3 linked regions of the Cricetulus griseus genome follow. The protein of the gene in region 1 interacts with the protein of each later gene in a pairwise test. Links are inferred from orthologs where the notes say so. Each region holds a gene or a part of one and is shown on either strand. Other genes may lie near its edges.

Region 1 (9,956 bases):
ATAACCACTGCATGGAGTAGGGGAATGATATGGGAGTCTTCACTGTCCCAGCTGGTCTTAAGTCCAAGTGATGATCCTCTTATCTCAGCTCTAGAACTACTGAGATTGCAGGCATGTACAAAATCTAGCATGTTATATAGGCATGCATATTTCATTTTAAAGTATTATAAAAGCAAGGCCTGGGGAAAGTGCTCCAGGTAAGAGTATTTGCCATGAGTGAGGCCCTGGGTTCAATCCTAAACAACAACAAACCTAAAAAAGATGATCAATAAAACTATGGATAAATACAATGAATAAAACTTAACTATGATAGGCTTGCATTACTTTTTAAATTAAGATATTGGCTGGCCACATGTATTCCAGTATTAGGAAGCAGAGGCAGCTGGATCCCGTAAGTTAAGGCCAGGACTGTTTACACAGCAAGTTCCAGGCCAGCCAGGACCACACAACAAAAGCTGGTTTCAAAAGCCTAATAATAAAAAAATGATTTATAGAACTAGAAAAATTGCCAGGGGAGACTTCTGACACATAGTTTTGTTTCTAAAACTGAGAATTCTCTTTTAAATATTTTAACTCAGAACTTCTACTTTTCTAAAAGATAAATTATAAATTATTTCATTTAAAAAAAGCATATTTTAATAAATAATTTGTAGAACATTAAAGTTAGTAGAAGGAAAAACTTAATGGTCACATGGAACTGAAATAGACAAAATTATATGCTTGTTCAACTGCCAAAGATAGCATAACAAAGATCTAATTTCCTCTTACTTGGGTGAAGCTAAAAAGACAAGCCATTAGGCGACTTTTCAATGTCGATTTCACAACTTGTACTTTATGAAGTCATTGCTCTGAATTTTCTATTTAGCTTGTGTTACAAACAACCCTGTGTTTGCTGTTACAGTATTGTTATCATTATGCAATAGAGCCATCCATTATGATTTGTTTTCCATCATAATATGGGTGCTACATAAATTTGTGTTGATGTTAAGATTGTCGACGATCCACAAAGGAGCAGAATGCCCCAAACGGACATTACTTATGATATCTGAATGTGCATCAACAGAGGTGGTTCTCGGTCTTTCAGGTATACAATATTATTCAATTATCTACTTGGTCTGAAGACCAAATCCAGGTCCTGTGGGTGCTAAGCAAGTGCTTTACTACTGAGCTACATTCCAGGTCTTGGTTTACTGAGACTAGGTCTAGCTAGACAGTCCAAGCTGGTTTCAAGTGGGCAACCTTCCTGCCTCCACCCCTTGGTGCTAAGATTTCATACTCAACAATGTTTTTCTAAATGTAATAACAAAGTAAAGAAGAAAAATGATGTGAAGAAGCCACAAGACCATGTCTTGTTTCTTACAACACACACAGTGCTTCTTGCACCGTCCACCTCACTTACTATACTCGTGCAGGTTCAGCTCCTTTACTGCATGGATGTCACTCAGCTGAGCAATTCGAGCCTGGACCTTCGTTCTTCCTTCTCGACCAGTCATGTCAATTTTTTCAATCATTTGCTGCTGCTTATCAATCCAATAGAGCCAGTTTTCAAACACAGTCAGACCCACAGGCTGCAAGATATTAGAGTCTTCTAGCACTATCCTGTTGGCACCTTGGAAAAGGAAAATATTCAACAGTAATGATTTGTGTGGCCAAATCCCACTTTCCACAGTTATCCAATGAATACTAAGTGGACTCGAAAAGTATGGGAAATACAAGCTCTGCACCATGAGACTTAACTGTACCAGAAAACGGTACTAAACCAGACATGTGCAACTGGGAATTAATTACCAATATACAGGGACTTTTCTAGTTAGGAAATGTAGCAAAGAACTTGGGACAGTGAGTTTCAATTTGTTTTTAGCAGAATCCATTTTCAAATTAAATTATATGAAAAACTAACACAACAAAGCAGATGAAAGCAATGCTTGTCTAGATGAAGCAGTGGTAGAAAGCCCAGGGTTCTATGCTTAGCACCCCCCACGTTCTGCAAACACCTGAGACATTTATCAAAAACAATTCTACCCTGATTCCACTTGGCTTCTAAAAATACACAGTCCATCTGACTCACAGGTTATGGACTAATCCTGTAATATCCTGGACTCAATGTCCAAGAACAGTAATACAAGGCAGGGGGGATTAGCTTCTGGATGGTGTGGTAATGTTGAAGCATAGACAGGTGATTCTTGGCACCTCTAGAGTTTGGTGTCATCCATGCTCTCAGAGGATCTCAGAACATATCCTCTGAAGAAAAAGGAGGACCATGTACAAGTCAGCAACATCGAAAGTTTTTTTTTTTTTTCCGAGACAGGGTTTCTCTGTGTAGCTTTGGAGCCTATCCTGGCACTCGCTCTGTAGACCAGGCTAGCCTCGAACTCACAGAGATCCGCTTGCCTCTCCTCCCCAGTGCTGGGATTAAAGGCGTGCGCCACCAATGCCCGGCCAAAATCAAAAGTTTTATGGACTCATATGTGTAAGAATTTTCGTGTGTGTGTGTGTGTGTGTGTGTGTGTGTGTGTGTGTGTGTGTGTGTGTGTGAGAGAGAGAGTGCGTGCATGCGCGCGCATTTCTGAGGACTGACCCCAAGGCCTTGCTTATAGCTAGACAAGTGCTCTAGCAGTGAGCTGCATGATTCCAGGTGACCACACGGCAGCTCACCCGTCTCTAACTCCAGTCCCTGGCAGGTACCGGGTACACATGTACTACACAAACATGCATTCAGGCAAAACAGTTATTTTTTTAAACTTAAATCTCAAAATAGTGGAAAAGGCAGATTGTCTAGTCAATGGTATTGAGACTAAGTAGACAAAAATGCAAAGTTTCTTGTCTTATCAGCAAATGGAGGTTCCCATGAACCTCAAAGTACAAGATAACTCCAGATAAAACTCTACTAAACAAGGCCAAGGTTGACCCTGACCAGACAGATTCACTTTCATATACCTTAGCAGTAAATTCATATTCTGAACCCACAAAAAAATTCTAGAAATTCAAAGTGGAAAATGGCAGATGAGTACAGTGGTATATACCCACATTGCAGCTGCTCAGAAGGCATAAGCAGGCAGGGGTACCTCAAGTTTTTGGTCAGTGTGGTAAACAGTGCAAGGCTTTCTTTAAAACAGTGGTATGGGGACAGAAAGGGGGGTGTCGGGGGACGGGGGATGGGACTTATGAGCAGTAAGAAACAGGGAAATGCAAACTATCAATCAACACAAAAGAAATTTTGTTCCATTTCCATAAGTAAGAAAAAATTGCTACTATTATATACATTTCAAACTACTGGACTTATAAAAATCCCCAACATTACCAAGTGCTAGGGAGACAATTCTCATATAATGTTGATAGGTTCTTTAGACTATTAAAACTTTGGAGAGAATCCACATTCATTTTTATCTGTCGGTACAAATGGGTGTGCTACTGTCTCTATTATGTAGAAATTCCACCACTGCTTTTAGGCAACAGAGAGGTTCACATAGCAAGGTGGGGGCTGGCTGGTTTGTTTTTGTTTTTGTTTTAACAGGTTTTTGGAATTAGTCCAGCAGGTCTCAAAATAAGAGTCTTCCTGCTTCTGTTTCCAAGTGCTATGATTACAAGCACTTAACACCTTTCCTTATTCTTGAGTGGCACTGATAGTCACATACTGATAGGCTACATGGAATTTCTCCATGAAACACTATCACAAATGATGTTCAGTGATCACTCTGTTAGTATTTCTGTCAGACAGTCATCTAAAAGAGTAACTGCCAAATCAAAGGCTCTACCTCCTTTCAATCCTGGTAACTATTGGCAGACTGTCCTCCACTAGAGGTTCTACTCTTTTAATTGACCCCAAAGTGTCCTGGATTTGTGGTGCGGGAGACAGGATTCAGCATTCACATTAGGCAGATGCTGTACCAATGAGCTCCACCTTCACCCTTAGGAGAGTATGTTATTTCTACCATCCTGGCAAGTACTGGGTTTAATAAACTTCAACATACTTTTTGCCATTCTGACAAAAATAAACAGTGTATTATTTCAATTTTATCTTCCTGGTCACTAAAGAGGCCATGCAGAAACTGGATATCATGAATTATGATAGAAGAGAGAAGACCACAGAGAAACAAAAGGTAAAAATGATGACTGTTTGAAGAGTGAGAATACTCAGATCTTAAGGAGACATATTAGGAAACACACTTCAGAACAACGTCTGCATATGGGAGAGTGCTTCTGAACTTTCATATGGAAAAATGCAGAGAGATCAATCATAGGCTAGATTTCAGAGAGGACAGAATGTAAAAGTAGAGTGGAAGAATTAGGAAAGAAAACAAAAAGATACATAATTTTCAGATCAACAAAACTGCTGAGTAATTAGGGAACAAGGATGTAATCTCAAACATCCCCCCAACTAACATAATGCAGAATATATTTAATGAAAAAATTATAATCATGTACAAAAACAACACAAAAGAAGTACAAATGCACAGTAGTGAAATCATCTTAAAATTTAAGTCACGATACAGAAACACTTTGGGTACCTGAGAGATCACTGCTTTCAATTCGCCGGAGGTCTGAATCAGCCCAGAAGAGCTTGCCCAGCTTGCTGTCCAGTGCCAAAGCAATTGGTTTACTTAAGCCACTGAAAAAGAGGACCTCCCGTTCTGTTCCATCCAAGGCAGCCCTTTCGATTTTAGGAGATCTTTCCTGGAGATTGGTAAAATACATATACCTGAAAACAACAGGAGAAAAAGTTACCAAAGAGCCAGACAAACTGAGAATATTCTTGTTAAGAATATGCAGAAAGTACAGCTCAGTGGGAGACCACTTGCATAACACGTGCAAGGCCTTGGGCTTAATCCCCCAAACCACAAACATTTATTTATAAAGATAGGAGGTAAAATACTTTCAAATCTATCTAAAAATTCTCAGCTATATGCAAAGACATACTATGCATATAATGGAATAATCGGACAGTTCAAAGCACGGATATACTTCATAGTTAGGTTAAATATATCTATATCCTCAAGCATTTACTGTTTACGGTAAACAAAGTCTTTCTGATGGACTTCTGGGGTATGCACTCTGCAGTCGGTCGCTCTTAGCAATCAGCCTACTGTGCAATAGTGTGCTAGAGCTGCTCAACTGAGAGCACCTACTGATTAAACTTTCTCCAGGTTCTCCCTGCCCACTCCCAGTCTATTTTTTTACAAAGGTCAAGGGATATATTTATTATTTTTAATAACAGTCACAGAGGGCACCAAGAAGTAAGTGTTCAGAGAGTTAAATTTCACAGAAAAAAATAATGTCCAGAGAGATCTAGTTACAAAATTTTTAGGCATTTCTCTAATTAACCATTTTAATTACCAAAGATGGGACACACAAATCATTTATAGGTTTCATCCCTTTTCTGTAACTCTAGAATTAAGCCATTTTCCTGCTAATGCCCTTATCATCTATTCAGATGCAGCTGAGCATTGACTTTTTTTTTTTCTAAATCACATACAAACTCCATTAAATGAAAGCAGACATACTAGTTATTTATAATGGAGCCGAAGGTCTAGTAATAACCATGTAACAGAAAAACAGTTGAGTAAAGCAAACTGGAAAGGAATAATCATGACTAAGAAGACACAGAGTAGGCACTAGATTCCAGAAGTGAGAGAATCACACCTGGCTGGGGGATGAAGGAGATCAAGGCAAGCCACACAGAAGATGTGGCAGTGAAATAGTCCTGGAGGGTATGGGTGGGATTTAGAACTAAACCAATGAAAGAACTCTGGGCAGTAAAATCAGAAAAAACAGTAAGAAAATGCAGGACCAAGTAAATGGGAAACACTGAGTAGAGTTGTTTGCTGGTGCAAGGAAGGGTGAAGAGGGCATCAGAGGCGAAAGTGGAAAACTGAGGCTTTTGTAACATACCCTTTCTCAGGGTTTACCACAATGGCTCTGGGTCTGTCTTGCTCGCCTTTTAGAACCACTCCAATTGATCGCCCATCTAATCTTGTCACATCAATGACATTGGTAGCTTCACAGGTCCAGTAGATGTAACGGCTATAAATATCGATGCTGAGGTCATAGGGCTGTATTTCGAGGTTCTGATTTGGAACTGAGCTAACAACTACAGTAAAACCCTAAAGAAAGGAAAAAACACACAAGTTAGATTCCACACCAAACTACAGGCCATGACCACAATTATTAATTTGTGAGGTCACACCTCAGAAGGGTATCCAGTCTTTGGGGATATTTCTTATAGAAAGGGCTTTTATGAGTGGTATATCTGCTTGTTAACATGCATTTCAAATATCCCCCTGGGTTGCTTTATGGAACAGAAGAGTATGCTGAGGATAGCAAAGATAGTCCAGGAATCTGACAATGTCTTGATCAGAGGAGGTACCAGCTTTCCCCCATAACTATAAACAACTGTGGCTCCAATCACACCCTGGAGATACCTCTAGAGCAGTAGTTCTCAACTAAGGGTGATATTGCATCCATGGGCATTGGGAATGTCAAAATGTGAGAAACCTACTGATGACTACTGGATAAATACAGACCAAGAATGCTTCTAAACATCCTGTAGTGCATACATAGGGTAGCCTTACAGCAAAGAACTGTGCAGTCCCTAAGACCAGCAATACCAAGTGTGAGAAACCTTATTCTTCTGGAGAAAATAGCAATCAGGAGCGCACGCACGCACGCCCGCACGCCGCACTATTCAGACACAGGGTCTTAATCTATTGGCTAGGAGCTTTCATTTTTAGGTTCCTACATGCTGGGACTACTGCCCTATACCAAGATGCCTGACTACAAATTAATAATAAGTTTTTTTCTTGTAAAGCCAACCAAAAGCAGATTTGTCTATTTATTCTGTCCATATAAATTTTATTTCATTTACTAGGACTTTGAGCTAATATAGCCTTTTAAAAACTACTTATATCATTTATTATCTTTGGCTGTGTAATTTCTCTCTACCAGTTATTGAGTACTAGCCTATGTAGTACAAGGTACAGCTGGAGTACAAAGTATGACCACATTGCACTCGTAAGTATGTATGTATGTATGTATGTATGTATGTATGTATGTATGAATGTATGTATATCTCGCCCTCCTTGTTCTTTACTGTAAGGTAAGACAGAAAAATTGAGTAATATTTCTCTAAATTTTAACCATTCAAAATCCAATTTAAAATCTTTCGAATAAGGAAGACGATAGATAGCTATTGTAATCTCAAGCTTACACTGACTGACCCTAGAAGGAAGGAGTATAAATAATAGTATTGAAATCCACAATGGCACATAGGCACAGATAAGACTGATATTATCCTTATTCTCATTCTAAAGTCCCCAAATAGTAACCAAAAAAATACAGAATCAATAACACATTGTTGACATTTTTAATTTTACTAAGATTATCCTGTTTCTTAATCAATGAGTCTTAAAACGTAAAAAAGGTAACTATTAAACAGGTAGGGGCTTTACGCCTTACATTCTGTTCAACCAAAAAACTTAGCTGGGACTAGAACAAAGACCTACTTGATTTCAAAACATGTATTCAAAGGGATAATGAAAAAATGGCATTAATGGATGTGAACAGTGGTGGAAAAGTCACTAATGACCTAGCTTCCCTGATAAAATTTCCAATCCAATGCCATCATCAAATAATGATATTCGTAGAGTACAGCTACTTTGAGTAATAAAAAAGTCCTAAAATTTCCATTTCCCCTGTAGGCAGATGAAGCCGTGTGGATGGTTAGAGTTAATTCTAGTCAGAAATGGGCTCTAAATTAAGCCTGAGTTACCTGGCCACCATCTTCTTGTGCCTTTCGGATCATGTTCTGTCGAGAGTCAATCCAGTAGAGCTGCTTGTCCAAAGGGTCGTAATCAATGGCCCTAACGTTCCGAAGGCTGTGGATGGGAAGGGTGATGTCAGGGCTCTGCTGCTCGTCGATCACCATGCGGTTGATGGCACTCTTCTGACTGAAGAGCAGGAAGGTGGTAGGAGCTTAAAAGAGAAAAAAAGAGCAAATCTGAAACACTGTGACTCTCTTCACTACCACCCCAAGGTTGGCTGAGCCTGTCTCATGTATGCCATCAGAACCACATGTTAAGGGTGAGGGGAGAAACCTTCGGCACACCTCCAAAAACTCCCTTCAGAGTGAGAACAATCTGGCTATAAACCCAGTTGTAAATTGTTTCCGTCCACTTTGCCCTGAATTTTCTTGTTGCTTTCTCTGGTTTCACTGCCTGGAGTTCTTTCATTGGTTTAGTTCTAAATCCCACCCATACCTCCCGGACCATTTCACTGCCACATCTTCTGTGTAGCTTGCCTTGATCTCCTTGACTCCCACCCAGATATGGTTCTCCCATAGAAACTAAAGCAAAAGAATCACTGTAAATGTGAGGCTGGACAGCGTGAGATGTTATCAAAAAACCAAGAACAAAAACCAGGGGCTGGAAAAAATGGCTTAGTGGTTAAAAGTGCCTGCTGCTCTTGCAGAGGATGTGAGTTCAGTCCCCAGTACTCATGTGGCGGATCCCAAGTGTCTGTGACCCCAATTCCAGGGGAACTAACATTCCTTTGTGCTCCCTCGGGCACCAGGCATGTACATGGCACACACACACATACATGCAGGCAAACATTCATACACATAAAATAAAGGAAACTTAAAAAGTTTCACTAGAAAATGTTGTGTTCCATGGTAAGATGATACTCTAATTCATAAAAATGAGAAAGTGTATCCAAGACAACACTTCCCTTTCCCAGAATGGGGCCTTTCATTATTATGCAGTCATCTGTTCAGGAAAACATCTGAGAGGTACAGGCAGGAGGCTACTGAGTTGATTTCATGGCCAGCCTGGGTTTTGAACCTCTCTTCAAAACAAAAGTTTGTCAGTACCAAATCCTTTATTTGCTGTATTTTCCCTATACATATCTATCTATCTATCTATCTATCTATCTATCTATCTATCTATCTATCTATCTATCTATCATAAAACTTAGTTGAGGAGCTGATGGCTCACTGGTTCAGAACAACTGTTGCTCTTGCTGCAGGACCAGGCTCAACTTCCGGCACTCCTGGCTCACAGCTTTCTCTAGCTCAAGTTCCCAGGGATCCAATGTTCCTTTCTTATCTCCATGAGCACGAGACAACCTGGTGTGATTGACAAACTATGCAGGCAAACAGGGCAATAAGAAAGATTATAATATACTATAGTTGCTACACTTAGTACTTTGTGCTTTAGGGAAACTACAAAGAAGAATTAACATCACCTGAATACAATCACTCAGGATACTGTGACAGCTGATGTGAAATCAGCAGATATCCTGCTGCAAAGGACCTAGCAGGAGGACAGCACAAACAGGAGAAGTGCTGGACAAAGAAATGATTCGAATCCTAGTAGGACTGAAATAAGTTGCATTGTGCTACTCAGGACCACATGCAATTTAAAACTTACGAATTATTTCTGGAATTTTCTATGCATTATTTCCAGATGGAGGCTGACAACAGGTAATGGAAACCACTGAAAATGATGGCAGTGGGGGAGGGGAGTTTCCTATAGTTTATATACATAAATTTGATAACAATACTTTATTTTTCTTGGTGCTCAGCCATTACCTAAACCCAGCAGAATCATGTCCTTCTCAAGGATGTAAACACAGGAGGCCATGCCAGAACTCCTTGCCTGACTCAAGATCTTCATGGCTCTTATTGTGGTTGGGGCTTACTTTAAAACCACACTCAACTGTATACAAAGGAACTCATTGGCAGTGACAAAGAATCCTGATACTTGCAACACTGCATTTCTGTTAAGTTCTTCGTTGGTGAAAAGTCCATACCCAGCTTAGAAGATTCAGAAAGTACCCAGACTACTAGAAATTTCCATCACACATGGACCTAACAAACCATGAGCAATTTCAGTAGAGTTCAACTGTAAGAACACACTTTAGATGGCTCAGCAAGGTAGAGGCATCTCTCACTAAGGTTGGTG
Region 2 (10,056 bases), on another chromosome or scaffold:
GGGTGACAGAGGAAGGCGGATGTTGTCACTGCAAGAAGCAGGACTGGCCAGTAGCCTCAGCAGAAACCTTGAGAGCAGCACTTCCAATCACAAGACTCTATAAGTGCTCGGCTTCACAGCCCCTTGGAGGTCAGGTCAGGGTCTATTCAAACTTGTTGCCCCAGATTCTGACTTTGTGTGGGTGTCACAGGTCCTATTTGGCCTTAAAAACAGCAGCATCCCCCCCCCCCCGTTATCCCTTTTGTTTCCTGAGACAGGGTTTCTCTGTGTGGTCTTGGCTGTCCTGGAACTCGTTCTGTAGACGATGTGAGCCTCAGACTCACAGAGATGCACCTGCCTCTGCCTCCCGAGTGCTGGGCCTTCGAAGACCCTATTTCAAAAGAGAAGGGGGGGTGCTGGGGATGGGGCTCGTTGGTAGAGTGCTTGCTTGTTTAGCATGTACAAGAAGACCCTTGGGTTCAATTCCCAGCATCCAAAACCTGTCGTGGTGGCACCCACCTGTAATCCCAGCATGGAACAGGCAGGTTAGAAAAGACATCTTCAGCTTCGTCGTGAACTTGAGCAAGCAAGCTGGAGTTATCAGGTCCTGTTTTCAAAAGAAACAGAAACAAAAGACACCTGACCTTGGTCCTGAGATTTTTTGCTTCCAACCAGAAGATCCTTGAGGGCATTTTACAGATTAATCCATGCCAAAACCAAATCCCATTTGTAAGGACAGCCCTCCTCCCAAGTCCCTACACAACCCCTCCAAAGTCTCTTCAGTGTCGTGCTTCACCTAGTCAGGCTGCTTGGAAACCGTCTTAATGTCTCATTCTCTCACAGGTATCTCTTGAGCTTTCTCCATCATGCCCCAAACAATGGCTTTCCGATGCCTGTGGCTTATCAAAGACTTCTTTCATGCAGACATCTCTAGGACCCCCTTAGACACTTGGAGACATTTTACAGCTCTTCTCTGACATTCGCCCTCCAAGTGCCCCACGGAGATTAATGCAAAGACCGGCCGTCTGCTCAGGTCATACCGGCTCCGGCGGTTAAGTAATGGGTTCTGTGCTGACACACACACACACACACACACACACACACACAACACACACACACACCACACACACACACACACACACACACACACACACACACACACACACACACACACACACACACCACACACCACTCACACCACACCATTCACACACCAAACACAGACACACAGACAACACACACAGACACACACAGAGACAGACAGACACACACACACAGACACACACAGACACACAGACACACACACCAAACACACACACCACTCACACCACACACACACACACAGACACACACACCAAACACACACACAGACAGACACACACACACAGACACACACAGACACACACACCAAACACACACACAGACAGACACACACAGACACACGTGAGACTTCTTGGTCCTCCTATGCCTTGGGGCTTGACTTAAATTTTACTTTTCAACTCCGAGCAGCCGTCAGAGGGCGGCAGCCGTCCGTTTGGCTGTGCTGCACCGGAACCGCCCTCTCCAGTCGAGCGAGCGAGCGTGAAGCTTTGCAAAGTGGGCGGAAGGACCTGCGCTTTGCCTTCTGGATAACGTAGTCTGAAGGAGAGAGAGAGACGGAGACAGAGACAGAGAGAGAGAGAGGAGAGGGAGAGAGACAGAGAAGAGAGAGAGACAGAGAGAGGGAGGAGGAGGAGACAGAGAGAGGGGGGAGGAGGAGAGAGAGAGGGATTCCCAGTATCGTTTGGGATACGAGTTCAGGACATAAGTTGTCTCATTTATTATTATTATTATTATTTTTTAGTCGTGCAGCTCGTCCTCTTGGCTGTAACCACGTTGTCAGAGAGAGGGAGAGAGAGAGAGACAGGGAGAGAGAGGGAGAGAGAGAGAGGGGGAGGGAGAGGGAGGGAGAGAGAGAGGGAGTGACAGAGAGAGGAAGAGACGGAGAGAGAGAGAGGGAGAGAGAGGGGGAGAGAGAGGGGGAGAGAGACAGAGAGAGGGAGAGAGACAGAGAAAGAAGAGGGGGAGAGACAGAGAGAGAGGAGAGGGAGAGAGAGACAGAGAGAGAGAGGAGAGGGAGAGAGAGGGAGAGAGACAGAGAGACAGAGGGAGACAGAGAGAGAGTCCCCGAAAACAAGCGTTGGGACCCGCGGTCGGTCGGTCGGTCGGGCCGGGACTGTTCGTGAAACCCTTGGAGGATTCAGGGAGGAAACGTGTTTCTCTTCCCAATCTGTGGCCCTCGAGGGACTGGCTCCTTTTCCCAGCAGTGGCTGATGGGCTGAGGACCAGGGAGGAGACATTGTAACTCCTAATAGTTTCCCCCCGGGAACTCTCGTCCTTAACCTTTCACCTCCACTGCCAGCCACAGCACTCCCTTTGGACTACGTTTCCCAAGAAGCCCTGCACCTAGCTTCACAAAGAGTCAGATTCCACTGTGGACTCTTCCCAGCATGCCTCTGGCTGCTGGTCGCTCCCATCCCCTTCCTCAAAGATGAGGCTGTCTTGAACTTCATTTCCCAGAAGACACCAGGCTGGCTGAAGCACCGCGCTTAACTCTTGGTGTCGACTACATTTCCCGGAAGGAACTGCGGCGCAGCTAACTGGACAGAGAGAGCGCGATGCCCGCTCCATTTCCTATCCTACCTCTTCCAGTTACAGTATCTACTTGGGGTTTGAGGACCACCTGAGTCTTTTCCTAGCGTGCTTTACAAAACGCTCTACACCTGCAATGCGGTGAGGGCGTGGTGACGACTCCATTTCCCAGTGTGCTTCACAGATCAAGAACCGAGGGTGCACGAGTGCGGACTCAATCTCCCAGAAGGCACCCGGCACAGGAAGTCACCGACCAGCCCATGGGAGTGGATGGGTGACTGGACTCCATTTCCCAGAATGCTTCAGGGTTGGAGGCCGCTCCGGGATGGAGGGGCTAGGATTTCATTTCTGATAGCCTCTGGGGCTTGCTGTTGCATCTGTGTAATGAGCGTCTTGCCCTGAATGTGGCTTCCGAAGTATTTTAGAGTTGCCTTTGGTCAGGGTCGGGTGACATTATCCAGGACTCTACTTCCCGACGTGCAGCGCGAACCGTATTTCCCCCCCACCCCTTTTCCCTCTGTCCCCCCTCCCCGCCCCCCTCCCCCCCCGTCAGCTACTCTGAGGTCTTGAGAACTCCATTTCCCGGCGTGCTGTGCGAGTCCGAGGGTGGCGACAACGAAGCCGACGGCAGAGGGACTTCATCTCCCGGCGTGCCCCGCGGCGGGCGCTGGGCCGGAGCCGGAGCCCGAACGGCGCGGCCTGGAAGAGGCCGGAGCCCAGGGGAGGCGGCGGCAGAGGCGGCGGCGGCAGGGGCAGCCCAGGCAGCCCGAGCCCGCGGCCCTGGGCCTGCGCTCGGCGCCATGAGTGGCGGCGGGCCTTCGGGAGGCGGCCCTGGGAGCTCGGGCCGGGCGCGGACCAGCTCGTTCGCGGAGCCAGGCGGCGGAGGCGGAGGCGGTGGAGGCGGCCCCGGGGGCTCGGCCTCCGGCCCGGGAGGCAGTGGCGGCGGGAAGGCGTCAGTCGGGGCTATGGGTGGGGGCGTGGGCGCCTCGGGCTCCGGGGGTGGCCCCAGCGGCAGCGGCGGAGGCGGCAGCGCTGGCGCCGGCGCGGGCACTAGCTTCCCGCCGCCCGGAGTGAAGCTGGGCCGTGAGTACTTAGGGGCGCCCCGTGGGGTGGTGGTGGCGGCGGTGGCGGCGGCGATCGGGGTCCCCCAAGCCCGGCAAACGGCGGCGGCCAGGCTTTCTTTGGTATTTTTTTTTTATTATTATTTTTTATTTTTATTTTCTATTTTTTTTTTCTCTTTTCCCCGGGACCCAGATAGAAAGAAGCAGCTTGAGGTTCACCGTGCTGTTTCACACCGGGATCTGGGCTCTCGGGGCTCCCGGATAAAGGAGTTGGGGGGCTCCCATCCCTTGGAGTTTAGAATCAGAATTACCAGCATCCGAGAAGCAGAGGTCACAGGCCCCATTCTTCCAGTATCCAGTATCAAGGTCCCGGGTACTTGACGACGCTGCCATGCACTAGGGAACAGGATCAGAGGTCATAGTTACTTGCCAGTGGTGATCTAGGATCATTGTCCCCTAAGAGACAAGAATAAAAAAGATCACTGCCACCGTCCTATACGGAAAAGGGGGCGGGGGGGGGGCACTGGTTTCCTTTCCATCAGAAATGGGGATTTGGATGGAATGTCTCTTTTAGAAGTGCAGACTTAGGATTACTGATGTTCCCACAGAGCAGGGCCAGGCTTGAAATATAAGGCCTGACATGACCACCTTACCCATCGAAAATGTGTAGACTTGTGTCCCCAATGCTGACAGCGAGTTATCATTGCTGTTTGTAAATGACAGCAGATTGGGAATAGCAATGAGCTTCAAATCAAACAGTGTTCTTTTTAAAAAGAAAAAAATGGGGGGGGGGGCGGGGCTGGTTAGCCAAAAAATAGAATGGGGTGGCCTGGGTCACACCTACTATAAAATACGGGTTTGAAGTGGCCGTCTTTGGCTCTGGGGAAAAAAAAAAAAAAAAAAAAAGCAATGTAGGATTATTTTTCAAAATGTCATACACTGCCCCCTCCCAACTGGAATTTGTTGATAAGTTTTCGGAAGGTGACTGGGAATGGCACTAAGAATATCCCACACATCCCAATCAGTGCAGTGTTAGGTAAGAGCAACAGCAACCCCCACCCCTAGCAACAAGTGAGGGTCAGGGCACTGTCAGTTAGCCCCGTTCATTTCCGTCACTCAGGAGCAGTGGCAATGGTCCTTGATCTGCCAGGGAGGATTTAGAAGTTAGTGCCCTCAGACTGTGAGAATGGCCAGAGTTTTCTGGAAGAACGAACACCTCATAGTTTCTGCTCCTTTGAGTGGAAGATGGTACCTTGTGGTGGCCCTGCAGAAGGGGCCAAAGGCCGGGGAGCCCGGTGCGGCTGGGTTATGCACCGAGGGTGTTGATGGTCCCCCACCACCAAGTGACTTGCTGTTGTTTGCTAAAAGGAGAAAGTGGGTACTTACACATTAATGGAAATAAGTTTGCATGTCCGTGCCCTCCAATATGGGAAGCAGAATGTAGGGTTCCTTGGAGGGAGGCTCCGGGTTACTGGAGTAGCTAAGCTCCCCTCCCTGTCCTCAGGTATTGAACTCAAGGTGTGTGCCAGACAGTACTCTGTCACCAAGTAATCACTGTCCCTTCACCCACAGTGAGTTTTTTGAACAGCTTTCCCTCCCTGGGAAAGGTCAGTAGATTGTATTCCCTTTGTTCCTTAGGTGACAGCGGGAAGGTGACCACAGTGGTAGCCACTCTAGGCCAAGGCCCAGAGCGTTCCCAAGAGGTGGCTTACACTGACATCAAAGTGATTGGCAATGGCTCATTTGGAGTCGTGTACCAGGCACGGCTGGCAGAGACAAGGGAACTAGTGGCCATCAAGAAGGTTCTTCAGGACAAAAGGTTCAAGGTACCTTGAGTGGACTGGCGGTTTGGGGACTGGGAGTGACTGCTGTTTGTGTCCAGCAATAGGACTAGTATCTGGAATTTAATGTTCTTACTATTATTTATTAATGTGTGCATGTGTATGATGTATGTGTGTGCCATGATGCATATACGGAGGCCAGGCAACTGTTGGGAGTTGGTTCTCCTACCACCCTGGAATCTGGGGATTGAACCCAGGTCATCGGTCTTGCATGGCAAGCACTTCTATGGACTGATGTGTCTCACCAGCCTGAGCCCAGGATTTCAGCGGGACCTGAGCATGGGCCTCAGGAGAGAGGGAATTCCGGTGAAGTGAACTGGGGGAAATGTAAATTTCAGAAGAGCTGAGAGCTAATGTTTACTGGGCATTTCCTTGGTGTTAAGTGCTTGACAGGCAAGTTCTAATTTAATTGACCTGAAGCATCTCTGAGGGCAGGACCTGCTGCTATTCCTGCTCTATGTCAGCAGAAATGAGGCTGCATGGTAAGGGCCCCTTCGGGGGAAGGCTCTGGCCTGTAGACTCGGAAGTCCCTCTCCTCAACCACTTGGTCACATCTCTTCCAGAAGAAAAGGTCAGATAAGGCTGATGATGATGGTGGCTCTGAAGGACGTGCTCTTCCCCAGGCGTCAGCCAGTGCTCAATGTAATCGAGCCCTGACGGTGCTCATTTGAGCCCCTTGCCTTGTGCAGGGCAGGGCTGCCTCCAGAGGATAGGGTGCTCTGTGAGCTGCAGAGGCCTGGGGAACTAAGTAGCAGGAGAGAGGAGGGGGGTGCACGGAGGACTGTACCAGACCCGACGGGTAAGCGGGGCTGGGCAGTGAGGGCTCTTGGACAGGAGCAGCTCTGGGGTGTCAGTCAGACCTTGGTGGAGCTGAACTGCAGAGCTGGGGCGGATCTGAGAAGGGTTCTGATGCCCTGGGTGGGACCAGACAGTGGGAAGAGGCCCAGGCACGGAGGGGAAGGTGAGGTTGGAAGGTGCTGAGTTGTGAGTCCCCAGCACTTCCAGGGAAGGTGGCGTGTTGAGTTGTGAGTCCCCAGCACTTCCAGGGAAGGTGGCGTGTTGAGTTGTGAGTCCCCAGCACGTCCAGGGAAGGTGGTGGAGGGGGACGGGGGTCAGGGAGAAGCAGACAGCCACTGCTCTCTGCTGCTGCTGCTTTTGCCTGTGTCTGGTGTGACGTTTCCGTGGTCTGATTTCTTTAGTTTTGTAGTATGTGGGATGGAACCCAGAAGTTGTGTGTGCTGTGCGAGCGCTCTACCACTGAGCTAGCTAGATCCCTAGCATCCTTCTTTGTATTTTGACACAGAGCTGCCCCATGGTGCTCTGACTGTCCTTGAATTTGAGGTCCTCCTGCCTTAGCCTTCCAAATTGCTGAGATCTTAGACCAGCACCAGGCCTAGCTTCAGTAAATTCTTCAAGAGATGCGGAGGGTGGGCTTTATGAAGAAACTAACTGACCTTTACATGTCAGCAGTAGTTAGAGAACTTCTAAAAAGCAGCTTGAAGTAAACACACTGGTGGCCCAGGACTAACTGGCCCATAGGCTGTAGCTTGTGTGTGAGGGGAAGGGGCCAGAGGTTGAAGTGAAGAACTAATTTTCTTCTCCCTGCCCCAGGCCTTGCAGCCTTGAGTTTGGGGCACAAGGGACAGCTGCCTGCTTTCTTAGCAGAGATAGATGGAGGGTGAGGTGACGGTGCTGGGCGGGGGAGGCGGGATTGTGTGTATTGAGACTCCTTTTGCCCTGCAGAACCGAGAGCTGCAGATTATGCGTAAGCTGGACCACTGCAATATCGTGAGGCTGCGGTACTTTTTCTACTCCAGTGGCGAGAAGGTGAGATGCTGGAATCTGAGGGGTAGGGGTGTAGCCACACTCGGATGCTATCCATCTTCCCGCCCTCTTTCCCACGAGGTCCTTCTGCTCCTCACTGGTCTCTGCACACCTTCCCTCTTAGCTTACAAGGTCTCTTCTCCCCTTTGCCCTCCAGAAAGATGAGCTGTATTTAAACCTGGTGCTGGAGTATGTGCCCGAGACGGTGTACCGGGTGGCCCGGCACTTTACCAAGGCCAAGCTGATTATCCCTATCATCTATGTCAAGGTATGTAGGCAGGCTGCTGGAGCACAGGCCCACAAAAGCAGGGGCCCTGGGGCTACCTGTGTCTAAGGTTTCCTTCATCTTTGAATTTAGGTTGGTCTCTGGAGGCCTATGTTCCCTGTCTTCAGCCTTGTAGCTTGCAGATGGGTTTGGCTAAGTCCAGGGAGGGCCAAGGCAAGGGCTTGCCAAGGAGGTGGCAAAGGGGTTGGGGTTAGGTGGGAAAGCTAGAGTGGCAGGAAGGTGTGCCCACACAGAAGAGCCAGGCAGGCTCTCCCCAGATCGCCTGTGGGTCTGTTGGTGGCTTCAGCACCTTGTGCCCTGATAAGCTGTTGCTAATGTGGGCTGTGCCTGTGGCTGCCTGCTGCTGCTGCTGGGCCATCCACACTGGGAGGACAGTTCGGCAGTTGCGAGCTGTACTATGGCTGCTTCTATGCTCAGCCAGTGCTGAGCAGTTCCAGAGGCACAGCTGACTGAAGGCCAGGCCTTGCCCATGGAGAGCTGGGCATGGTGGTACACACCTTGTGTCCCAGCACTCAGGAGGCAGAGGCAGAGGCAGGAGGATCTCTGACTTTAAGACCATCCTGGTCTACATAGTATGCTCCAGGACAGCCAGGGCTACATAGAAAGACTGTCTTTAAAAGAAAATAGCTGTTTGATGAGGTTATAGGCTCCGTCACAGAAAATGACAAAGCTGAGGAGCTGCTGCTAAGGCAGAGGACCACAGGGAGCTCTGGAAACTGAACGCCCCTTCCCTGCCTGGCTTGGGGTTGAGAGCCATGAAGGAAGATTGGGAAGGGAGTGGTGTGAGCAGGGGGTCCCAGAAACAGCCCTGTGTGTCAAGGGGTCAATTGGTTAGTATATATTAGGCATTGCCCTAGGCCTAGGAGACGCAAGAGAAAGCAAAGCCGAAGGCCCTGGCTGCACATAGTGGTGCATGCCTGTAGTACAGCACTGGGGAGGCCGAGGCAGGAGGATTTCAAGTTCAAGGCCAGCTTGAAATCTAGTGTGTAACTCTGGGTCAAAAGAAAAAATTCCCAGAAAGGTTCCATGGGTAAAGGTGCTTGCTGCAAGCTTGAGGACCAGTCACTGGGACCCACACGATGAAAGGGAAGAACCGACACCGGCAAGGTGTCCTCTGGTTGCCTGTTATCTGGGTGCATGTGTAACCCCCTCCCCCAGAAGCAGGCATGTATACACAATCAAAGTGTAATCCAAACTATAACAAATCAAAACTAAAAACCCTGCTTAGGTTCTAGTCAGTGGGCGTAAGGGAGGCAGGAAGTGAAGCTGGAGAAGAGCTGCCAGCAGGAGGCCGAGGCCCTCCAGAGCTCGTGGTTTTGGTGAGAGGGGAAGCGGAGTGCCTGGCCCACACCCTGTGTTATGGCAAGATCTTCTGGTGCTACTCCTCAGGCTCGTGCGGGAGGTGACTGGGGCAGTAGTTCTCCATGTGAGGGCCAGGCCTAGTCTCGGTGTGCCATCCTCAAGCTTCAGAATCAGAAATTGGGAATGGGGCCCTCTGGCCTATTCCCATGCGTCCAAGTGCTTGTGGCAGGCATAAAGTTTGAGAACCAGGTTTCAGACTGAGGCGATGGGAAGGTCAGCAGTGTCTGTGTGGGAAGCGGTGGGCAGGGGCAGCGGTGAGCTGTGCTCTGCCCATCTTAGGTGTACATGTACCAGCTCTTCCGGAGCCTGGCCTACATCCACTCCCAAGGTGTGTGTCACCGTGACATCAAGCCCCAGAATCTGCTTGTGGACCCCGACACTGCCGTCCTCAAGCTCTGCGATTTCGGCAGGTAGGTCTGAGCCTGTAGGGCACCTAAAGAGCTGAGAGCCTCAGCCTTGGGTTCATGCTGACCCTGCCTGTCTTTTCCCACAGTGCAAAGCAGTTGGTTCGGGGGGAGCCCAATGTTTCCTACATCTGTTCTCGGTACTACCGTGCCCCAGAGCTCATCTTCGGAGCCACAGATTACACCTCATCCATCGGTCAGTTAGGGATGGATGGGACGGGGACTGGGGAGGGGCAGGCTTGGTGACTAAAGCTTACTGTCTGCTCCTACCACGGTCCTCACAGGATGAGGAGGCTGGCTGCCATGCAGCTACCTGCTGGGGGCTCAACAGCTGGCCAGAGCAGGGCTGAGGCTTCAAGACCAACCTGACTCTATCTAGAGCCCACCTGTACTCTAGAGCCTCCCAGTCAGCAGCTCTGTTAGAGGGGAGGGGAATAGCCTGCTCCCAGGGCCTGTCTCTCTCTTCCTGTGGGAAGGCTGAAATGAGAACATGTATGTGAAAGGTTAGAGGAGGGTGTCAGTCTGAGGAGGGGCTGGTGTGGTCCTTAGATCTGAGCTACCACAGAGTAGGGAAGGGGTGAGCAGGCCAGGCCGTAGTTCTTCCATGGGCAGGACAGGCTAGGGGGTGAAATAGCCAGTCTAGAATTGAAGCTTTCTTGTGACCCAGG
Region 3 (10,056 bases), on another chromosome or scaffold:
AAAGGGTGTCATATATAATTCTTCAATGCAGTTTATTTCCACACATCTGTCATACTTACTGATGAATTCTGAGGAACTCCCAATCATTTCCAATATCCTGGGGTCCTATTAAGCTCGGCAATGTCCCTGGGCAGACTTCTATTAATTTGCACAGAAGTGACCAACCCACCTGAAAGCAAGAAAGGTAAATACTTACTTTTTTTTTTTTTTTAGATAGTGTTCTGTATACCCCAAGCTAGTATTGAACTCATTTTGTAGCCATGAATGGCCTTGACTCTCCTCCAGTCCTCTTTTCCATGCAACATGCTAGAATTACAGCCATGTACCACCACACCCAGTTTACCCGATGCTGAGGATGACAGAACCCAGGGCTTCCTGTGTGGTATGCAAGCATTCTACCAACTGAGCTGTGTATCCAGTCCCATACCCACACTTTAGGATATTTTGGGGGGTGGTATTTTGAGATAGTATTTCTATGTGTAGCACTGGCTGTCCTGGAACTCACTTTCTAGATCAGGCTGTCTTCAAACTCATAGAGACCCTCCTTCTTCTGCCTCCCAAGTGCTGGGGTTAAAGGCATGTGCCACTACCACCCAGCCCATACCCAAATGTTTAAAGGCTTGTAGTAGATGAACCAATCATGAATCTCTGTTTTTTAGTGGAAGAGATTATTATATCGTTTTTAAATAATCATTTTAAGACTAAACAAAACCCTAAAATGCTTTCTGAGAATGAAAGTAAGGTGTGTATGGAAACCACACGTTGCTTTAAAACCACACGCAACTGGAACACAACAATATTGTGACATTCCTAAATAAATACAAAATAGACACCCTTATTGTTAGTATTCGGACAACTGTACTGGCCTGTCCTTGGGGTTCTGACAGGATATGTCCTCAGCTGCAGCCACTAAGAGCACCACCTGTACACATTCACTATATTTCCCTTTAAAAGGGCCCTGCTCATATCTCTCTCTCTATCTCTTTCTTTCTCTCTTCTTCTTCTTCTTCTTCTTCTTCTTCTTCTTCTTCTTCTTCTTCTTCTTCTTCTTCTTCTTCCTTCTCTGCCTGTCTCTCTGTCTCTCTTTCTCTCTCCCTCTGCCTCTCTCTCTTTTACTGCTCCTGTCTGCAGAAGTTGGTCTCTCCCTCCCCCTTCTTCCATTCCCTTTCCCCTAATAAAAAAATAAAAACACCCTCCATGTGAACTCTGTCACAAAGTATCTTTCTCTCTCATGTGGATTTTTAAAATTACAACACTTTTTATCTAAATAAACCAAAATAAGTAACAATTTTAAGGGAAGACTGAAGTTATTAAGCAAGAGTGGCTATACTCATACCTTATTGCTTTTTTAACATCAATATCTGACATATCTTTCCCAAGAATTCAAAATTTTGATTACAGAAAGAGAGAGGAGCTTGGAATGGAGAACTGGAGAATGCTGAAGATTTTTGTGGCAACGGGAAATGACTGGCCTTGGGTAATAGAGGCCTATGAGCAGTACTGTCCTATGATTGAAACTACATCTGCTACTAGAAAAAGAAACTATAATAGAAGGCAGAACACCTAAGTAACCCTTGTATTTTGCATACATCTTTTTAAAAAAAAGATTTGTTGATTTTATGTTTGAAGGTTTTGCTTGCATGTGTGCATATATGCCACCTTTGTGACTGATGCCTTGGGGTCAGGAGATGCCTTGGGGTCAGAACTCCCATGCTCTAATTAATGTCTCAGAAGCTGTGAGAAATTCTCTGACCAAAAAGCAACTCAGGAAGGAAGAGGTTTATTTCATCTTTACAGCTTCCAATCTACCATTAAAAGAAGCTGAGGCAAGAACTCAAGGCAAGAACCTGGAGGTAGGAACTGAATCATAGACTGTGAACAAAAGCTGCTCACTGGCTTGCTCAGTTTACTTTCTTGTCCAATCCATAACCAATCCACAGCCACCTTCCCCAGGGAAGACTCTGCTTACAGTGCACTGAGCCTTCCCACAATCATTAATCAAGAAAATGCCCTCTAGGCTTGCCCATAGGCCAGTCCAATGGAGGTAATTTCTCAATTGAGGTCCCCTCTTCCCAGGGACTCTAGTCTGTGTCAAGCTGACAAAGACCAAGAAGTACACATGGTACTTGAATTATACATATGCTTGAAAACCACCATATGTGTGCTGGAAACCAGACAAGGGGCCTCTGAAAGAACAGGAAGTGCTCTTAATCGTGAAGTCATCTATTCAGCACTCATTTTAAATTATCTTTGCACAGCTAATTAGACTTGACTCCAAAATCAACATACCATTCTTTTCCTTTGGAAAAAACAATACCAACTCCTGATTTTAACTCAGAGATCTGACCACTCTTCCCACTGTCTCTGTAAATCTGAAGCATCTTTTATTCTTCCTACATGCTAAAGAAATATACTCAATATGGTCAGGAAACAAAATAGAAAATTATTATCAAGGTAGCACACAGTTAATGAAATGTACAATTGATGAAATGCACAATTAATGAAAGGGTATCTGAGAATGACTTATGATAAATACTAAATCATATGAATCCTGAAAGAAAGACTCACACTGTGAGTCAGAACTACTCAAAGAAAGACAAAATGTGGCAGAGGTACGACTTCAGCCATAGTTCAAAATTCATGAGCGCTAAGACGAGCAGGGAGCTCATGACAAGAACTGGGTGCAGGGGAAGAGACAGCAGCTGAAGAAAACTGGACAGAGAAGTGAAGATAAATGATGCAAAGAGCTGAATGGCAAGGTGAGAGATTCACACTTGTTTGCTATGGGGCAGTGGCACACATCTGTATGTTTGCATGAGCAGATAGGAGGCATCTCACAAAAGATAAAATTCATAGGCTCTCTCTAAAGTCTCATCTCTTCACAGCATTGTTCGAGCTGAAGTCTTTTTACTATACTATTTTTTAATTAAGCGTGAATTGCCTCATGTTGCCACTACTTCCCTTTAAATAATTGCAATTCCTTTAAAAGGCAGAAATCTCTAAGAGTATTTATTTTTACCTATATTTAAATTGGATACCCTCCTCCCTTCCATGTAAGCAGAAGAGGTAGCATGAATAATAAAAATCCAGGGACAGATATTGGGGTTCAAACTGAAAATCAGAAAAACAAAGCAGCCAGACAGTAGAGATTTCTCCCCTCTACCAATGCTCAGACCAAAGGGGCAATTATGTCCTCTGATTGCATCTCCAGATCACACTACCATCCACCAAGCCTCAGAATCCTAGACTGGTCTCTGAGACTGTACTGAGCTCCTTATATACTCTCTAGTGCTGGGATTAAAGGTGTGAGCTCCCATGTGCTGAGATCACCTTTGTGAGAGCTCTGTTTCTCTTTTAGACTGATTCAGTCTTGTGTAGCCCTGGGTGGCCTTGAACTCAGGATTAAAGGTATGTGCCACCACCGCCCAGCTGTGACTAGCTTTGCATTCTGATCCTTCAGGCAAGCTTTATTAAAGCATAAGCAATATATCAACATAAGAAGACGTTAACAATCCAGCTGTCATAGAACCCAACTGTTTCTATTTTTTAAATTTTAAAAACTATGTGAAGCCTTTTCCCCAGACATTTAAGAAAGTAGCATTCTCATGAGCTTCTAGTGAGGAAATGTATTATAGGATGCTAAACTCCTGTCCATACCTGTACAGCTGACTCACTGAGAAAACCTGCTTTGTTTGGGTTGCTAAAGCCACGGCATCAATAATTGCTTGGCAAAAAGACCCATCTGAGTAGCTGAGCCTGCAATCACTGAGCAGAGCTTCGGTGACTAAGTGAAATCTCCAGCAACAAAGCAGGGGTAACAAGCGATGCATTAATCTTTCAATTAGGAACTTACCTTTCAATAAGAGAAAGTTTTTACCCTGCATACTTACAGTAGACAGCTTTTCTCTATTATAATTGCTCTATAAATCCAAGCATCCCACTCATAAACAATTCAAAAAAGTCAAGTGGTTGGATAACATCTAACCCACTTCCATTTATTTTGTTATCCTTCTTCAAATGTTGGAACTTCTTGGGGAAAGAGAAGTAAAATTGAGGACCAAAAGAAAGTGACTGATGAGAAGAGGAATGCATAGGGCAAGGTTGACAGCAGTTCTCTGAGATCTGCACTTGCAAAAAAGCACAGATAAAGAAAAATGTAAAAATCCAGACTCTGGAATATTGTGTTGGGTGACTCTAACAAGAAAACCTTAGCACACTTCTGAAGAGGACTCACCAAACTCCTTACATTCACCGAGAGATTTTCATTTGGTACAGCTAGCTAATTGGATGCAAGAAATAGGAAAGGATACTCATGCAATCACACCAATCATGTGAAGAAATTTAAAAGAAAATAATACTTTCCTGTAAACTGTTGAAAATCTCAGTACTGAGAGAGAACTTTTTCTATATCTCCTGAGAAGACCACTGATGATGTGGCCATTGTACATGCTCATAGCATCTGTGCTAAGCCACTAGACTTTTGCTTGCTTACACAACATCTTATGAATTCAACACCAGCTGAAGAAGATTTTGGAGTCATGAACATATCTGAGTCCTCACTCTCTTACAAGCTCCCCCAGGGACTATTCACTCTAAATTTAATCAATTTGAAGGAAAGACATTGGTCCGCTTTCTTCAAGGGCAGTGAGATTCCAGTAAGAATCTACTAATGTAATATGCATATACCCCTTTGCTGATAGACACATAAAGAACACTGGATGTACTGATTTTATTCTGCTATATTACCAAACCAAAGGCTGTTCCTTTCTAACACACTTTGCTGCTCCCACTCCTACCCAAACAACATCATAACCATTGCAGGCAAGTGTGTCCACACTTGGGCATTTTTTATAATCAAGAATTAGAATGTCTTGGTTAGGTGTAGCTAACTCACTGGTAGAGTGCTTAACTAGTACATGCAAAGCCCTGTGTTTAATTCCTACCAAGAGAGGGGGGGGTTAAGGACAGGGGAAAAGAAGGAGAAAGAAGAAATGGAGGAGGAGGAAGAAAAGAAAATAAAGAAGAAAAGTGAAGAGGGTAGAAACAGACAAGGGGAAAACAGACAAGTATAGCCCTTGGCAGTGTAGGTAACCAGAATTAGACACTTTTGAATACGAAGCAAGAAGGATGCTGTAGGTGGAGAGCAAAACACTTCTTAAAAATGATTCATATTCCGTGGGTAAATCTCAGACTCTGACTGCTAAAAGTATCTTTTTCATGCTTCCTCCATCTTTCTCTTGATTTTGTTTGATAATAACCTGAAAATCATTAGCCACATAGAAAATATTTCACAATTGGAAAAATGCATTATTGCAAACAAAAGTGTGCTTTTATAAAAGAAAACTAAAGCCATACACCTGCAATCATAGCACTGGGGAGGCTGTGGCAGAAAGATGGCAAGTTCCAAGTAGTCTGGGCTTTACTGTGAGAACTTGAGGAGGGAGAATTTGGAGAGTGAGATAAGCCTTACTTCTGTCTAGTCACTAGCATGAATATGAAGGAATATTCTCGCTGCACCTTCACAGAGTTCCCCTAAAAGTCTTAGTATTCAGATGACAAAACTGATTTCAATTCCCCAAATCGAAAAACTCCAAAGGAAGTTAGTACCTTCAGAAGTAATTCTATCTTGACCAAAAGACATTAATTATCTGGGGCTGCTTTGAAAGTCACATTTCATTACTTAGCCTACTTCTGGGCTTTCTGTGACACAGATCCTAGAAGTTACACTTTTGTCTCCATTTTGTGTGACAACAGCTGCAAAGTAGAAATGTAAACACAGGGAACTCAGGACACATCACTTTCTTTGGACACTTTGAGGTACACTTCAGGAAAAGCCTTGAATATGTCTTCTGATTTAAAACCATGTAAACAAGCTGGCCCTATGAAATTTTGCTGTTTATGTGACTGTTTTTTTTTCCTGATTACTTAATCCCCGCCCCCCAATTGCTGGAATTAATCACAGCAATGCCCTATTAAAAACACACTGCATATTAGGAAATTTCTTAGACTAGCTTGAAAGGTTAATGAACTCGCCGTGCCAATAAGAGAAGTGTTTTCATTTTACTCCTGCCACCATCTAGATTGTCAGTTAATAAAGTTGCTTCTACTCTGCTAATAGCGGTAGCAACTGACCACGTTTCCCTCTGAAAGCTAATCTCAAGAACCCAGGCCACCATGCCTATCATATAAGGGTCTTCAGAACAGAAGGGAACAGCCTGTTTACCTGCTGCACACTGGAGACTCTCATGTAGGAGTCCAGGACGATCAACAGAGGCACGTGTAAATTTTTACCTTCAAATAACTTGGAAGCTGAAAAAGAGGGAAGTGGAGGAAGAAAACAAAGTCACAATCCTCAGCATCCTTTCGACCTTCCTGGGATCCCAGTTCCTTCCCCCTGAAGGAAAGAAGTGGGGTGCCTAAGACTAGCACCCCAAGTGCAGGATAAAGTTTGCTAAAGGAGCGGCTGCAGGCATTACCTCTGTCGGAGTAAGTGAACACCAGCATGTCCTCCAGGAGCTGGAGCAACGTCTCAATCTGCTTGCCTTCCTGGACATTATTCAGCCTGACTATCAACTTCTTCAGCGCCTCCTCCTCCTCTTCCTCCTCGCAGCCCTGCGAGCCACCACTGGCCATAGTGCGGCGGGGACTGCCGGCGGGCGAGCCTGGAAGGTTGCTGTTCACAGTTGCTCCACTGCCTCTGCTGCAGGCCCAGCCCTCGGCCCGGCCGGCCGCGCCCAGAAGGCGACCGCAACAGTCCCAGCCCAGCCTAGCCTGCCCAGCCTCTGCGCTGGGAACTCCGCCTGGGGAAAATCGAAAGCAGCCACCCGCGATCTGCGATCTAAGAATAGCAAAGGGGCGTTGGGAAAAGAGGACACCGCCCAGTTAGCCCGTTTCAGGAAAACGGTTTCTTTAAGAGTTCCCCCTATAGGGAGTGTCCTTTTCCCCCAAAGGATGCCCACATTTAGACATCAAAATCGGCCAGATTGTTGTAGCTTTTGCAGGGAAAAACATGAAATGTTTGCTTGCTCTGAAGCTCTGGTTGCCAAAAGGACTCTCAGTTGTTTTGGGTTTGCAAGGCAGGATCCGGGAGTTCTGTCTGATTCAGCTCCCTGTTCTCAAGGATGGAACTGAGAGAATACGGGGTAGTCAGTGAAACAAAAGGTACAAGAAACAGTTCTTAAACGTCATTCCTGCTCAGAACTAGTTATTAGTACTCATGTCCAGACGTCTAAAATTAAAGGAGAGATCTGAAGTATGGGCAACTGGTAATTCTAGCACTTGGGAGGGGAAGAGAGGAACCATAGAAGTTCGAGGCCATCCTTGCCTCATAGCAAGTTCAAGGCCAGCCTGAGCTAAATGAGCCTATTTCAAAGGAGGGATGGGGGGAAGGGAGAAGGAAAGAAGGGAGATACAAAGAAGAGGAGGGGGAGTGAGAGAGAGAGAGGTAAGAGATTAGGGGGGTGGGAGACAGAAGGGGCCTGGAAAACAGAGTGCTAGAATACTTGAGTGAAGGAAGGCTTGGGATTGCAAAAGAAAAGAAAGAAAAGGCCAAAGTAGTATGTTTTTCAAGAGAACTCAGGAACAGTGCTGTAGAGAAAGATTGAACAGAGATGACCTAGGACCTTCAGATGACCTGTCCTCGAGGTCTTTTACACCAGAGGAGAATCAGACCAAGTTAGTATTTCATGACTTCCAATTCAGCATCCTGATAATAATTCCAAAATGGATGAGTGTTGCTCTTCTTACCTAGGAGGCACCTTTGGGATGGGTAGTGAAGGCCTGCTGGAACCACAGAGGTAGAGAGTGGGAGTGTGTTTGTGTTTGTGGTGTGGTGGGGGGGGGGTACTGAGAGCCAAGACTTAAATCCAGGATGGAGGTTTGTTCACACTCCCCTAATTTCAGCAGGATGAGAGACGAAGTCTACATCAGTGCTTTTTGTTGCCAAGGGTTTTTAATCTTTATAGACATATACTAAATGCTTTTATTTGCAAAGATAGAATATTTAGAATTTGCTTTCAGGTACTCCATGCTTTGGGGGGGTTGAAATGGGAGGAAGTAGAGATGAAATAGCAACTTTGGAACTGGGAATTGCAGAAGCCAAGAAATACTCCTGTGGTAATGTTACATTTCTATATGTGTAATCTCCCCTAATGAAACAAAATTCAACCTGTCATCTTTATGACACCTACAATATATCCTCTTCTGTGTGCTTTCTGGACTGGTTTCAACTTCTGAGGACTGAATGAATACCTCAGATTTCCTTTTCCTTTTTCTTTTTTGTTCACTCTGTTTCTCACTTAAAACAAAACAAACACGCAAGCAAGCAAAATCTTTCAAGAAATTGAGACTTGGTTCGCTTTAAAAGACAGTTCCAAGTGACAACATGTTTCCTAAGTTCCTAAATTCCTTTATCTACCTGTAGGCCTCCACACTGGCCAGGCTAGCAAACAGGGTGGGCTCTGTCTGAGCTGTCTACTGGAAACATTTGCCAGAAGCCACTGCACCTTAGGGGCAAAGTATCCTTGAGTTTTGAACACCTTTAATTGATTGACTAAAATTCCAAGACTCATTAACTCCCTAGTGAACAAGAATAAAAATGATGGCTACAGACAGGAATCCATGACTAAGGCAGTGTTCAGTGGAGAATAAAATAACACTAAATATTTGCCTAACTTCTGAGGAAGAAAGAAATAAAATTGACATCCCCAAACACAGCAAACAACAAAACAAAATCCAGATGGGCTAAAAAGCAAAACAAAAATAACTAGGGGAAAATATATATTAAACATCATTCAATCTCGCCTAAAAAACAATGGCAAGAACAGAAAACAGAGAAAGTTAACATTTGTGATTCATTGAAACGTATTTTCTGTTACCAAAGAAAAACATAAACTAAAGGGAAATGATAAGGGGGGGGGAAGAGAATTGCATATGGTAAAACCAATTAACTAGAAGAGTTTTTAATAAATCACTAGAAAGATGGTAACCAGTAGATTTACTGTGAATGATTAGGAAATTAAAAAAAATATGTTCATCTTTATATTCATAAAGATCACTGAAACTTTGTAAGTGAAATAGCAATGAGGAAAATAATGGGAATAAATCTGACACAATATATGCAAAACTTTTGAAAAGAAATGATCAAACTCTATTAAAGGCAAAAATAAATGAGTCTATCATACTAATAGGAAGATTAAGTATAAAAAGATACTACGTCTCTTAACAGTAAAGAAAAAATGAAATACTAAGTGATACTCTTCTATATTACAGCAAGACCTAGAGGCTAGAAGAGCTCACCAACTGTAGTGAAAGAACTGGTCAATTAGGCATGATCCAGGGACACAGTAGCCTTTACTATCACACTTTCAGAAGAAATAGTGTCACTGGGGTCACAGGAGGGACAGGCCCAGGAAGCACAGTTTATCCAGATCAAGTGACTTCCTGAGACTCAGGAACAGTTGTTCTCAGTGCCAGCTAGCAGACACACAGAGGGTATCAAGTTAGATTTGGATTTCAGGCTCCACACATTCCATCCTGAAACCCCTATATAGGACACAGTGTATACAATATATGAAGCACTCTCTTATCATGAAATTATTTGCAGTGTCATTGGCACAGCTACATAAAGAGAACACTGAAAGAGCAGAAAGAGGCTAATAATAGTACAAAGTACTACACAGATGGGAGGATGATATATACATATATTCCTATATATATTCCTAAATATAACCTTCTCAGTCTGTATAGTGTTCTTGTAAGCATTTTTTCATGGCTGATCATTGATTGGTATTGGATAACCAAATTTTTTTTTTTTTTTGGTTTTTCTGAGCAAGGGTTTCTCTGTGGCTTTTGAGGCTGTCCTGGAACTAGGCCAGTAGACCAGGCTGGTCTTGTAGACCAGGCTGGTCTTGAACTCACGGAGATCCACCTTCCTCTGCCTCCCGAGGAGTGCTGGGATTAAAGGCGTGTGCCACGGCCGCCCAGCTGGATAACCAATTTTTGTACTCTTCCCAGGGAAGAGTATTTCTCTTGATCACAACATTCCTTGTTTGCCTA

What was found.
Region 2: the proteins of Lrp6 (region 1) and Gsk3a interact in binary tests that used the Homo sapiens proteins (3 or more experiments, as listed by UniProt). The link is inferred for Cricetulus griseus from reciprocal best matches to the Homo sapiens genes LRP6 and GSK3A.
Region 3: the proteins of Lrp6 (region 1) and Lrrk2 interact in binary tests that used the Homo sapiens proteins (3 or more experiments, as listed by UniProt). The link is inferred for Cricetulus griseus from reciprocal best matches to the Homo sapiens genes LRP6 and LRRK2.

The regions. Positions count from the first base shown.
Region 1 is NC_048601.1:14,476,225-14,486,180, reverse strand, and holds part of Lrp6 (low-density lipoprotein receptor-related protein 6), read right to left. Parts: intron 7,969-9,956; coding exon 7,766-7,968; intron 6,102-7,765; coding exon 5,890-6,101; intron 4,700-5,889; coding exon 4,509-4,699; intron 1,610-4,508; coding exon 1,400-1,609; intron 1-1,399. UniProt on the Homo sapiens protein: Component of the Wnt-Fzd-LRP5-LRP6 complex that triggers beta-catenin signaling through inducing aggregation of receptor-ligand complexes into ribosome-sized signalosomes.
Region 2 is NC_048602.1:9,982,781-9,992,836, reverse strand, and holds the start of Gsk3a (glycogen synthase kinase-3 alpha), read left to right. Parts: upstream 1-3,300; 5' UTR 3,301-3,410; coding exon 3,411-3,693; intron 3,694-3,864; coding exon 3,865-4,044; intron 4,045-5,309; coding exon 5,310-5,497; intron 5,498-7,255; coding exon 7,256-7,339; intron 7,340-7,493; coding exon 7,494-7,604; intron 7,605-9,263; coding exon 9,264-9,394; intron 9,395-9,477; coding exon 9,478-9,584; intron 9,585-10,056. UniProt on the Homo sapiens protein: Constitutively active protein kinase that acts as a negative regulator in the hormonal control of glucose homeostasis, Wnt signaling and regulation of transcription factors and microtubules, by phosphorylating and inactivating glycogen synthase (GYS1 or GYS2), CTNNB1/beta-catenin, APC and AXIN1.
Region 3 is NC_048595.1:388,186,584-388,196,639, reverse strand, and holds the start of Lrrk2 (leucine-rich repeat serine/threonine-protein kinase 2), read right to left. Parts: upstream 6,791-10,056; 5' UTR 6,634-6,790; coding exon 6,477-6,633; intron 6,310-6,476; coding exon 6,224-6,309; intron 170-6,223; coding exon 60-169; intron 1-59. UniProt on the Homo sapiens protein: Serine/threonine-protein kinase which phosphorylates a broad range of proteins involved in multiple processes such as neuronal plasticity, innate immunity, autophagy, and vesicle trafficking.